Linked DNA regions of Kluyveromyces lactis. The main gene of each other region encodes a partner of the protein of the gene in region 3 in a complex. Links are inferred from orthologs where the notes say so. Each region holds a gene or a part of one and is shown on either strand. Other genes may lie near its edges.

Evidence for each region. The genes of interacting proteins can lie anywhere in the genome.
Region 1: BRE2 (region 3) and SWD2 share a complex: the UniProt entries of both Saccharomyces cerevisiae proteins name them as parts of the set1C/COMPASS complex. The link is inferred for Kluyveromyces lactis from reciprocal best matches to the Saccharomyces cerevisiae genes BRE2 and SWD2.
Region 2: BRE2 (region 3) and SPP1 share a complex: the UniProt entries of both Saccharomyces cerevisiae proteins name them as parts of the set1C/COMPASS complex. The link is inferred for Kluyveromyces lactis from reciprocal best matches to the Saccharomyces cerevisiae genes BRE2 and SPP1.

What each region holds. Positions count from the first base shown.
Region 1 is NC_006041.1:1,606,746-1,609,851, reverse strand, and holds SWD2 (WD-repeat containing protein SWD2), read right to left. Parts: upstream 1,482-3,106; coding exon 501-1,481; downstream 1-500. Other genes in the region: ATP-dependent 5'-3' DNA helicase HCS1, read left to right, coding at 1-519; MCO12 (Mco12p), read left to right, coding at 1,750-1,755, 1,872-2,123; MND2 (Mnd2p), read left to right, coding at 2,442-3,106. UniProt on the Saccharomyces cerevisiae protein: The COMPASS (Set1C) complex specifically mono-, di- and trimethylates histone H3 to form H3K4me1/2/3, which subsequently plays a role in telomere length maintenance and transcription elongation regulation. Involved in mediating RNA polymerase II termination.
Region 2 is NC_006040.1:618,333-621,158, reverse strand, and holds SPP1 (Spp1p), read right to left. Parts: upstream 1,530-2,826; coding exon 501-1,529; downstream 1-500. Other genes in the region: KLLA0_D07282g (uncharacterized protein), read right to left, coding at 1-44; MCP1 (Mcp1p), read left to right, coding at 1,873-2,724. UniProt on the Saccharomyces cerevisiae protein: Component of the Set1C/COMPASS complex that specifically mono-, di- and trimethylates histone H3 to form H3K4me1/2/3, which subsequently plays a role in telomere length maintenance and transcription elongation regulation.
Region 3 is NC_006039.1:939,772-944,146, reverse strand, and holds BRE2 (Bre2p), read right to left. Parts: upstream 2,384-4,375; coding exon 1,166-2,383; downstream 1-1,165. Other genes in the region: SNX4 (Snx4p), read right to left, coding at 1-835; KLLA0_C10923g (uncharacterized protein), read left to right, coding at 2,672-4,375. UniProt on the Saccharomyces cerevisiae protein: Component of the Set1C/COMPASS complex that specifically mono-, di- and trimethylates histone H3 to form H3K4me1/2/3, which subsequently plays a role in telomere length maintenance and transcription elongation regulation.

The DNA of each region.
Region 1 (3,106 bases), on a different chromosome or scaffold from region 3:
TGGTTAGATACTGAGGGAGACGACTTTCCAGAAAGGTCTGATGAAAATGACAACGATGCAGACGATAAGTTCCACCTAGTCTCTTCAAAATACAACGAAAATGAAGCATATTTGGCATTATACCACGTTGAGCAGTTGATAAAGGCTGGTGTTACGGAAGAAAGTATTGGTGTGATCTCCCCGTATAATTCACAAGTATCGCTGTTGAAAAAACTCATCCATGAAAAGCATCAAGCAATTGAGATATCTACCGTAGACGGATTTCAAGGTAGAGAAAAGGAGTGCATCATCCTATCTTTAGTAAGAAGTAACGAGAATTTCGAGGTTGGGTTCTTGAAAGATGAAAGAAGATTAAATGTCGCGATGACCAGACCTAAAAGGCAGCTTTGTGTCATCGGTAACATGGAAATGTTATCGAGATGTCGAGTGCCATTCCTAAATAGATGGGTGCTCTGGGTAGAGTCTGGCTTCGAAGTCATATATCCAGATCCCAGTATAATTCATTCGTTATATACGTAGAAATCTACAGTTTCATCTGCAGTGACAAACATGCTATATTTAGGATTGAATGCAATAGTTCTGGGACATGTATTTGGTGCGGCGTTAATAAATCCTTGAGGTTTGAGCGTCCTACCACTGATGAAGTCTGCGTGGTTCCATATCGCGATCTTCCCAGTGTAATCAGTTCCCAATGTAATGCGTCCATCTGGAGTGAACGTTGCGGATCCAGAATCCATGAACTCTCTCAATGGGAAAGGTTTAGTTCCTGATAATTCAAATAACTGTGTACCATCGAAGGAATCCATGATCAAATGTTTTCCAGCGGACGACGCAAGCAACAAATATTTACCATCGTTTGAAAACTCCAATTTATTCCACTGATCAAAGCTTGGATCCACATTTATAACTAAAAATGGGCCCGCCTTCAAATGTTTTACGTTATATAAACCGACTTCATGGTTCTCAGGGTTACCAATGGCGAACACAAGCCCGCTTGGATCGTAAGCAATGCATGTGGGGACTAAACTTGGTATAAGGGCCTGTGCCTTGGAGCTTCTCAAATCCCAAAGTCTTACCGATTCGTCATACGATGCAGACAAAAAAGTATCATCCAACGGGGACATTTGTATATCGCTCACTAGAGCACCATGGCCCTGGAAATATCTAAGGTATGTGTTTGTTTCAAGATTCAAATGCCTTATGTCAAACGATTTCATAGTGGATGAATAGATACATTCTGATTGCGCATGTGTAAACTTTGCGGAATGACATCCGTATTTTTTAGAAGCGATGGTATTCAAAAACCTGCAACTTACTGCATCATATAGATGCATATTATCACTAGCAGTTGCAGTCAACAAGTACTGGCCATGGTCATCAAATGTCACTGAAGTTATAGGTCCCAATTCTTTATCAGAAACTCTGAAGGACTTCACAGGCTCAAATCGTAGAAGATTGCTCTTGGAAATGCTAACAGTCATATTTCCTTTCTCAGCTAACTTTTAGATAATCACAGAACTGTTGCTAAACCGCTGGTGTCCCGTTGAGCTTCTCTTTTTGTCTCCAAATTGGTAATATTTCTTGATGGTGTTAACAGTTTTATTTAAATTTAAATGTTCCTCGAAATTGTAATGACATCTGTCAAAGAAATCAATAGTGTTAGTCACTTGCAGGTAGAGAAATAGAGCCTTTCTGGTCTTACTCTGGCTTTATAAAGAACTGACATATTTGAGATTTGTAATAAGAATCATGGGTGTACGTACCGTTCATTTTTTTGAAGAAGGTGGTTAGATACACCACCGTTTTCATCAACGGACTTTGATTTACTAACTAAAAGGTAATCTTAACTGCATTTATCAAATTCCAATCAGGTTAAAGATATAGTTCATTACAGTATTGACTTAGCGTTGTTGTCTATGGTATTGGCTGGATTGCGTAGAAGTAACAATTATGTTGTCGCTTATGAAATGTCTGACTTGAAGAATTATATTAAACGGTATCTTGACTGGGGAGAATACTTATTCGATAAGTTGGCTAACATGGCTGAAAGAAGTGCTTATTTTAGGAAACAGACTCCTTTTGACAAGTTCTTGGATCATATGGAAAGAAAGCGTAACCTGTAGTTACACCAATAACGTTTATTCAAACATACATACTAATATATAATATTCAGTTCTTTTTAGTGTCTTCTATCAATTCATATCAAATATAAGATAACTGGAGTGAATGCCATCAAGACGCCGGCGTTTAACTACTGGTAATTGGTGAGTAGTACAGCTCTCCTTATTTTTGTTGATGCTTTTTCTATTTCTTTTAAAATAAAACCTTTAAATCATGATTTACTTGTGTCCTGTTAAACACCACTGTGTCAATGGCAATAACAGACATTAAGAGGCTGTTCACAAAATATTTTTGGAGACAGTAGGCTTTACAAGTAAGATATGGGGCTTGGAGAGTTTATGTATGGCCTTGATGCCTTCAGACAACCTTCTGCACCATCCGATTTCAATAACATTCCTTTGATAAACAATCTACGAAAAGAGCTTCTGCAAAGCAAGACAAGCAGAAAAGGGAAACCGGTGAGTTGGAACATTGATAAAGATACCAAGAGACGGATCAAGCCTGGGAAGAGATTGATTCCTCTTGCGGCGTATACTTGCCATAGTGAGAAACCTTTAATTGCCAATAATGACGGAGATGTGTCTGATTCCAATACCATTAACATTCTAGATAAATCGACACTATTGCTGATAAGATCTCTTGGCTACTCAAGTTTGCGACCTATTGGCATTGATAAAACCCTAAAAGAGATCGAAAAGGAGAAGGGAAGTAAACAGAACAAGCAACAAAATGAACACAATTCAGGGCAAGAACCAATACTTAATGCCTACCAAACTTCCTCTTCATTTATTGTGTCAAATCATAATCATCAACATACAGAACAATCGGTACTGCTGACAGCACAAGTTGGTGAACAATCTGAAGAAGAGTACGATCAAAGTTATGATTACGATAACGAGTATGCGGAAGTTCACGAACAAGGATCTATGCTCGACAGAACGAGAGGTACGTTTGTTGAGGATTCACAATTAATTGATACAAGTTA
Region 2 (2,826 bases), on a different chromosome or scaffold from region 3:
AACTCTTCGTTCTTAACCTTGTTTGTTCTGATATCTGTTGCCATATTTTGTTTGTAAGTTTATGTGTTTAAAAGCTTCCTCCAAACGCTTACCACAAAACCAATATCTTTGAAACTTACAGCGAGAGAATAGAGGTTCCTAATAGGAGATACAATTATAAGGTATGTCTGCTATCTTTTGTCCTGCCCCTTTATATTTCGTAAAACAACCAGACCTTAATGGTGATATTGAGCTCATTGGTTTTTCATTTTTATATTGTTTTCTCATAGAATGAATAACATGGTAAGTGACTTTAACTATGTGACGATTAGATGAATTAGGTTTACGATAGGATAAAGCTTATATACGTTCAATTATTGGACTAGAAGCATATGAAAAACCTGATGTTTGTATTAGGTTAAATTATTTATACATGCTTTTCTTGCTAGTTGATGCTACAAGTTAAATATAAGCGTTTCGCCTTCATTGTAATGACAGAAAAGTGACACATTAGATATGAGCTAGGTCTTAACACCGGGTAGGACGCGATTGGACATCTCTTGTTCGAAGAATGAGATTCTCAATTGGTTCGTTCTGACGCTAATTAGTAAATCGAGTCTTCTTTTGACGTTTTCTAGAGAGTCCTTCTGTTCCGAGAGATCGTTTTGGGACAATGTAATCCAATCCTGATGCTTAGCACATTTTGTCTTTACACAAACACCGTCAACTGATGTGATATTACTGTTTTCGTCTTCTTTCAACTGAAGTAGCTTATCTAAAAACTCCTCAACTGACCGAGGGATCGTGAACTCATTATGGTAGCCGCATATTGTAACTTTACTTGCACTTTTCGACTTCTTTCGACCTGTAGGCTGATTGAAATGTGGGGATAATCTCTCGTTAACTTCACCGATCCAGTTGACGTATTTCTCTATTACTGCATCTTCTTCATTTAGTTTTGAAAGCTTGACCGAAACCAACTCATCGTGTTCGTTAATTAATTTGTTTAAATGCTGATCATTTTCTAGCAACTTGGAATATTGATCTTTGGATAAAGGTGACGTGACTTCTGGAAGCTTGTCTCGTCCTAGCGTTTTAAATTCCTCCAATGATGTTGTCTCGTTTAGAAGCTGTCTCAACAATGCAATCTTATCTACGCCAGGTAGATTTAACTTATCAACAATGCTTTGAACGTATTGAACAGCATGTTTCTTTGAACAATATTTGCTTCTTGAATTGGCATCACACTCTGTATAGCATTCAGGGAGCCTGCATTTCCTCTTCCAAAGAGTTTTCGGTAGTTTGCCGCCATTTATCAATGCCGGTCCTGTAATTCCAGCACTACAATACGAACAGTAGAATGAAAAAACGAGATCTCTATATTTCTCGGGGATCTTTAAACAGGAAAAATGAAACCAATCATCACATCCATCACATCCTACCATCAACTCCCCAGTGTCTGGTTTCTTACATATACAATAAACTTCTTCCCCAGTTTTTGGGTCGTGTTTCCTGCTGTCATACCTGGGGCACCAACTAGGTAATGACATCGTGAATACTGTAAATTCAATCCTATACTGGAGTTATCTTATGATGATAAATATCTAGGCAGAAAAAATGAAGTATATTCTTTGTAATATTCAAATGCAACCATTCATGTACCCTTCACAGGCCATATTTGTGTTATTTCTCTGTTTATTTTACCTTCATCGATTCGTGTAATGGTTTTTACATTTTAATATTCCTTTTCTGATGCAATGTGTAAAGATGGAATGTAATGAATAAGCCAACATCAAATTAAGAAACAGATATACCAAGATTCTCAGAAATATCACTTGCCCTTTGAGTATATGAACAAGTGCGTGATTCGCTGACTTATAATTGATAAACTTCATGACTGCTGCGAAATTGACACCGTTGAAGCCCATTCCGACCAAACACATCGACCCCGATTTAGCAAAAACCCCCGAGGATGCCAGCGTCAATTTAGTGTTGAATATTAAGAAATGGCTAAGGTGGACGCAAAAATGGTCTTTATTCCCTCTAGTAACGTACTTTCCGTTACACGGTATCAATGCCCTAATAATTCCTGCTCTTGAGCCCTCCTCTTTTCCAAACGATGCTTTAATGATGGTTAGAGAACTCACATCTGGACTTGGATCTAAGTTGATTTGGACTGGGATATCAATACATATATTATCCGGATTTGCCTTGAGAATAATGAGGAAGCTGCCTACTTCTTCGAAAACACATAATGCCGAATCCTTGCTGGATACTCAGTCACTTGCACAATCTAGAATTGGTCTTGTAGGTGGTTTAAGTGGGTACTTTATTGGGATCAAGAGAAACCTTCAATATAATCCACAAGAGCTTACAGGATGGTTGTTAACTCCAGTATTATTCTTTCATGGTGCCCTCATGAAATGGCTGCCAAATACGGCGAAAGTTGATATAGACTTTGATTTTGTCAAATGGCTACTAGATAAAGACAGAGGTGCTTTGGTGAGGATAGGTCTCGGATATGGCCCCTTGGTTGCTCTTATTGGTTTAGGATCGTATCATATTATCGCTGGAACCGTTCAATATATGCATGTCCGTAGTCTAAAGACTCGTAAAAGAATAATGAACTTCATATTGCTGCTTATTTGTACCGGATATATTGGAATAAGCAGATTGGGATCAGAGATCGTATTCGGAATGGACAAATATTATAGACCAATCCTAAGAACATTGTCATTATCATGAAAATGTATGCTTTACTTCCTGCCAGTGATACACCGTTCATCGTTAATTTTATTCACCATGGCGCTTGTTTTGGTCTTCCTGTACCTAGTTTTATTTATTGTG
Region 3 (4,375 bases):
CGTAATCTATTTGTTTTTGATCTTTCAGCCTTATTAGTTGTTTCAATGCCTCGATATAGTTTATCATATCTTTAATATCAACGTTATACTCATAGTCAACGTATTTGTTCAAATCATTTAATGAATCTATCAATTGCATCGTTCCATCGTTAAAGGCTTTGATACTGTTTGATAGCTCCTTTTCATCGCAGCAAAGTTCTTGTAATCCTGATAAAGAGGATTGTAATTTCTTCAAATTCTGTCCGATCAGATCAACTCTTTTCACAGATTTATGGAATAGCTTGTCCAAATGGCTCAAATTATGGTCTAACTTTTCGCTCTTTTCCTTAATCTCGACAAACTCATCCCTTTGTCTGTTTACGTGTTTGAAAGCGTTTATCAAAACATCACTAACTTCAGAAGTGGAAATTTGCCCCGTCAAACTCCTTCTATAAACATCCCAATCTGTGCTGGTCAAAAACGTTTCCAAAATCCTGGATTTGGAAAGCTCTGAGTGACTCAACAACCTGCGCATGAACGTTTGAAGAGAACGACAACGTTTCTGAGTAAAAGAATGTGAGAATCTATCCCCTGAAAGATAATTTAGGACTTTCTTATCGGGTAATGGAGGAACAAGCAGTGCAGGATGATCGTTTATCAATATTTGATGTAGGAGTACAAAATCATTGTACCTCCTCACCACACAATTCGGTTCATCTTTGCCATCTATTTTCGTGGATACTTGATAGGTGATATATGTCTGCGAATGCGTTTTCTGTTTCTGAGGATCAGACACCAGCACACTTAATATTTTAGTATCTGATTCTTTATTTGTCAAAGTTCCTGATTCACTCATATTGCATGAGATATTATTCGTATTGCTGGCGTCAGTATATGACGGCTTCTTGTACAGTGTTTTACCTTCTATTTAGTGATCCCTTTTCTATCATATGAAGTTCTTCTGGTTTACTGTGTTTCCAACTATTTTTTTTTATTTTTAAGGTAACAACTCAATATAAGGTATAAGGATAGTTTAAGTTCTTTATAACCATGAACTATTCGGTCGAAATGTTTTCACGGTGCTAGTTGGTCCAACACATTGGAGTGCTAAGCTTTGGAGAACTATAATGTTAATTTACGGTTACGTTCTCTATAAATGAGTATTTAGAAAGATTCTTTTTCTATTTTATGTATCAATTTCGTCTATTAAGTCCCATACAATATCACTTGCGATCTGCTCATTGTAGATATCATTCAGAGTTTTGATATCTACATCTTTCGGTAGAAACTTGAGTTCCATGGCTTCTGTTATGATCGATGCAGTGCCTCCCTGGAATGAACTCAAAGTGGCATAATAACCTAGCCTGTTGTTGTTTACGTATTTATTTCTTATTTCGATCCCCTTCGTGACATTACGTTTATTCCAATGATGCAAATAAAACTTCTCATTGTACTGCAATTCGCTGAACGGAGGTAAGAATGGTGTAAGGCCTTCGAAAGCTATTCCATGGGAAACACCATTTACGAAAACTTCGAAGCTCGAGTTTTCAAGTTCGTAAAACTTTTGCATGTCGTCCCTGTTGTCATAATATTCCGGTTTTGTAGTTTTGACATAATCGGTACTTTCGTAAAACAATTGATTTTTATATCTGATGGCAATTTGATCTCTAACTACATTCGTTGGCTCGCATGAACGCAGTAAAAACTTGTAGAATTCCTTATTGAATTTCTTATTCCTTTTGTTGGTGCGGCTGTCGTCGTTGTTTAGCTCTTGGATTCGTTTTAAACTATAATCCATGGCTTGCTCGCTTTGAGACTGCAGGGAAGGTAAAGTCAGTAGAAATCCGATTCTATCACCTGCTTGCATCTCGTGTGGTTTCAAAACTGTATGCAAGCGGCCTTCGTGAATAACTTGCAATCCTTTATCTCTAATGCTATAACCGTAAAAATCACATCCGACTGGAGTTTCTGTTGATGCCTCTCTTCTGCTTATCCCGCATCTGATGTGTGATGTATCAGAAACGTTTTTCACCTCCACTTCCCAGTATATTTTTCCTTCTTTCATACAAACGTCGCTTCTAACGCTCCTCCACCCGCAGTTCTCGCTGACACTCACCGAATGGTCGTCCAATGAAAATGCTAATTTGTCGGATCTATCCATCAAATTGATAGAGCTTTTATCAAAATAGTCTGTGCCACAATACTTGAGCTTATCCAACATTAGATTTGCAGCACAAGGCTGATACATGAAGTTTCTCTTATTCAATGGCGTGTCCTCAGTGATATAGTACTGTTGTTCATTAATGCGATGAGATTCACTCAATTGCGGAAAATCTGGTTTTTTAATGTCAGAACCGAGATCTACTATATCATAGTCAAGGTATGGTATCACTGGAACACTCATTGAAGATGTCCCGTTTCTTTGTACACTCCTTACAAGCTTGGAGAGTTGTGTTTACTCGAAATTACACCGATCTGTTCTTATGTAGACTTTCACATTTTACAAAATATTATTAAACATGAATCAAGAAAGGATTCATTAATGTCTTTTGAACTTCCAGGCACAATAAACCGAACCAAGAAGTACAGTAGACCAAGATACTTGGAATAAGACTCCACGATCCTTTTGATTGATAGTTTGTGTTTGTTAGGTGTTCTCTTGATGTTGTTAGCGTAAAGTCCTCAATTTGAAATGGCAAATAAAGTTACGAAGGAATCTTCCGGAAATATTTACAGATCAGTTGCAGCGTGCAAAAGGTGTAGAATTAGAAAGATAAAGTGTGACAATAAGTTCCCATCATGTACGAAGTGCATTCAGGCACAGGAACCATGCATAACTATTGATCCCAGTACGCGAAGAGAAATTCCACGTTCTTATGTTGTATATTTAGAGGATAAAGTTCTGGCTTTGGAAGAATTGCTTGAGAAGAATGGCATCGATCCAGAGCACGCAAACGGCAATATTCCAGCCACTAGTGATGATAAAGCATGCGACATTGGCCTGTTTGAGGAAAGGGAAAGGTTAAGAGGTAAGCATAAGTTGCCCAATGGCAATGAGATGGCAGGCTTTATAATCAATAAAGGTACTTCGATGTTGAATGGAATAGTAGATAACGCCCGAGATTTGAAAGATGCCAGCAATCAATTTTCCAAGGTTGGCATAGTCAAGCAAAAGATAGAACACGAAGCTGATATGGAGGAACCCTCTGCATCTTATCTTGGTGATTCGAGTGGCATCTCGTTCGCCAAAATGATGTTCACAGCTGTTAAGTTCAGACCTGATGTACTACCGAAAGATGAAAAAAACAGTGCAGGTGGTACCGCTCATAAGATACCAAGGTTTACAAAAAAACAATCTCTTAAAATACCGTCAAAATCTCAAGCTGAAGCAATGATATCAGACTATTTTACCGCTTCGAATTCTCAACTTCCAATCTTACATCGGGAACTATTTTTACAGAAGTATTTCAAGCCCATTTATGGCTCACTTTCGCCTCATGTATCTTGGGCTTCTGACCACACAAAGATTAATGATATATTTCAAATTCCTGAGGCGTTCAATCCAGTAGAATTCAAACAAACGTTGGTTTCATACCTCGAAGAAAATCCTGATGCAGACAAGATTCCTGTTGAATACCATCAGCCGTTTTTCTTTTTGAACATTGTATTTGCAATTGGGCTTTCTACAAAAATTTTGATTAATACCGGATTTGATCACCGGTTGTTCAAATTTTGTGCTGATCAATATCAAGACAGTCTTTACACGTCAAAAACTAATCGGCTCGAAGCTTTGCAAGGACTCTTGTTGATTGCTGTATATTCTTTGATGAGACCTACGGTTCCTGGGTTGTGGTACACTCTTGGATCTGCTATTAGATTATGTGTGGATCTGGGTCTACACGCTGAAAAACTCAACAAAAACTATGAACCTTTTATAAGAGATGTTCGTAGGCGGCTTTTCTGGTGTTGTTACTCAATGGATAGGCAGGTATGTGCATATTTTGGAAGACCTGTCAGCATTCCTGATGTAAATGTGACAACTATGTTTCCAAGCTCCCTAGATGATGCGTTGATTACCACTGCAGAAGATAATGTCAGAGATTATTCGTCCCCGTCACTAGTTAACTCTGACCCAACTTACAAATCTGTATGTCTATCGATGTTCCAAATAAGAAAAATACAATCAGAAATTGTGCAAAGAATGTATGCTCCTAACGCAACCATTCCTGATGAGTTTTTAGATTTAGAAGATTGGAGGATAGCTATCCTTAATCAACTAGATGTTTGGTTTCAGAGAGTTATCCCAAAGACATCCATACAGATGAACTGTTCATTTCCGATAGACTTCTTTGCTCTAAATTATCACTATACAAAGCATATTTTGTATGGTTTATCT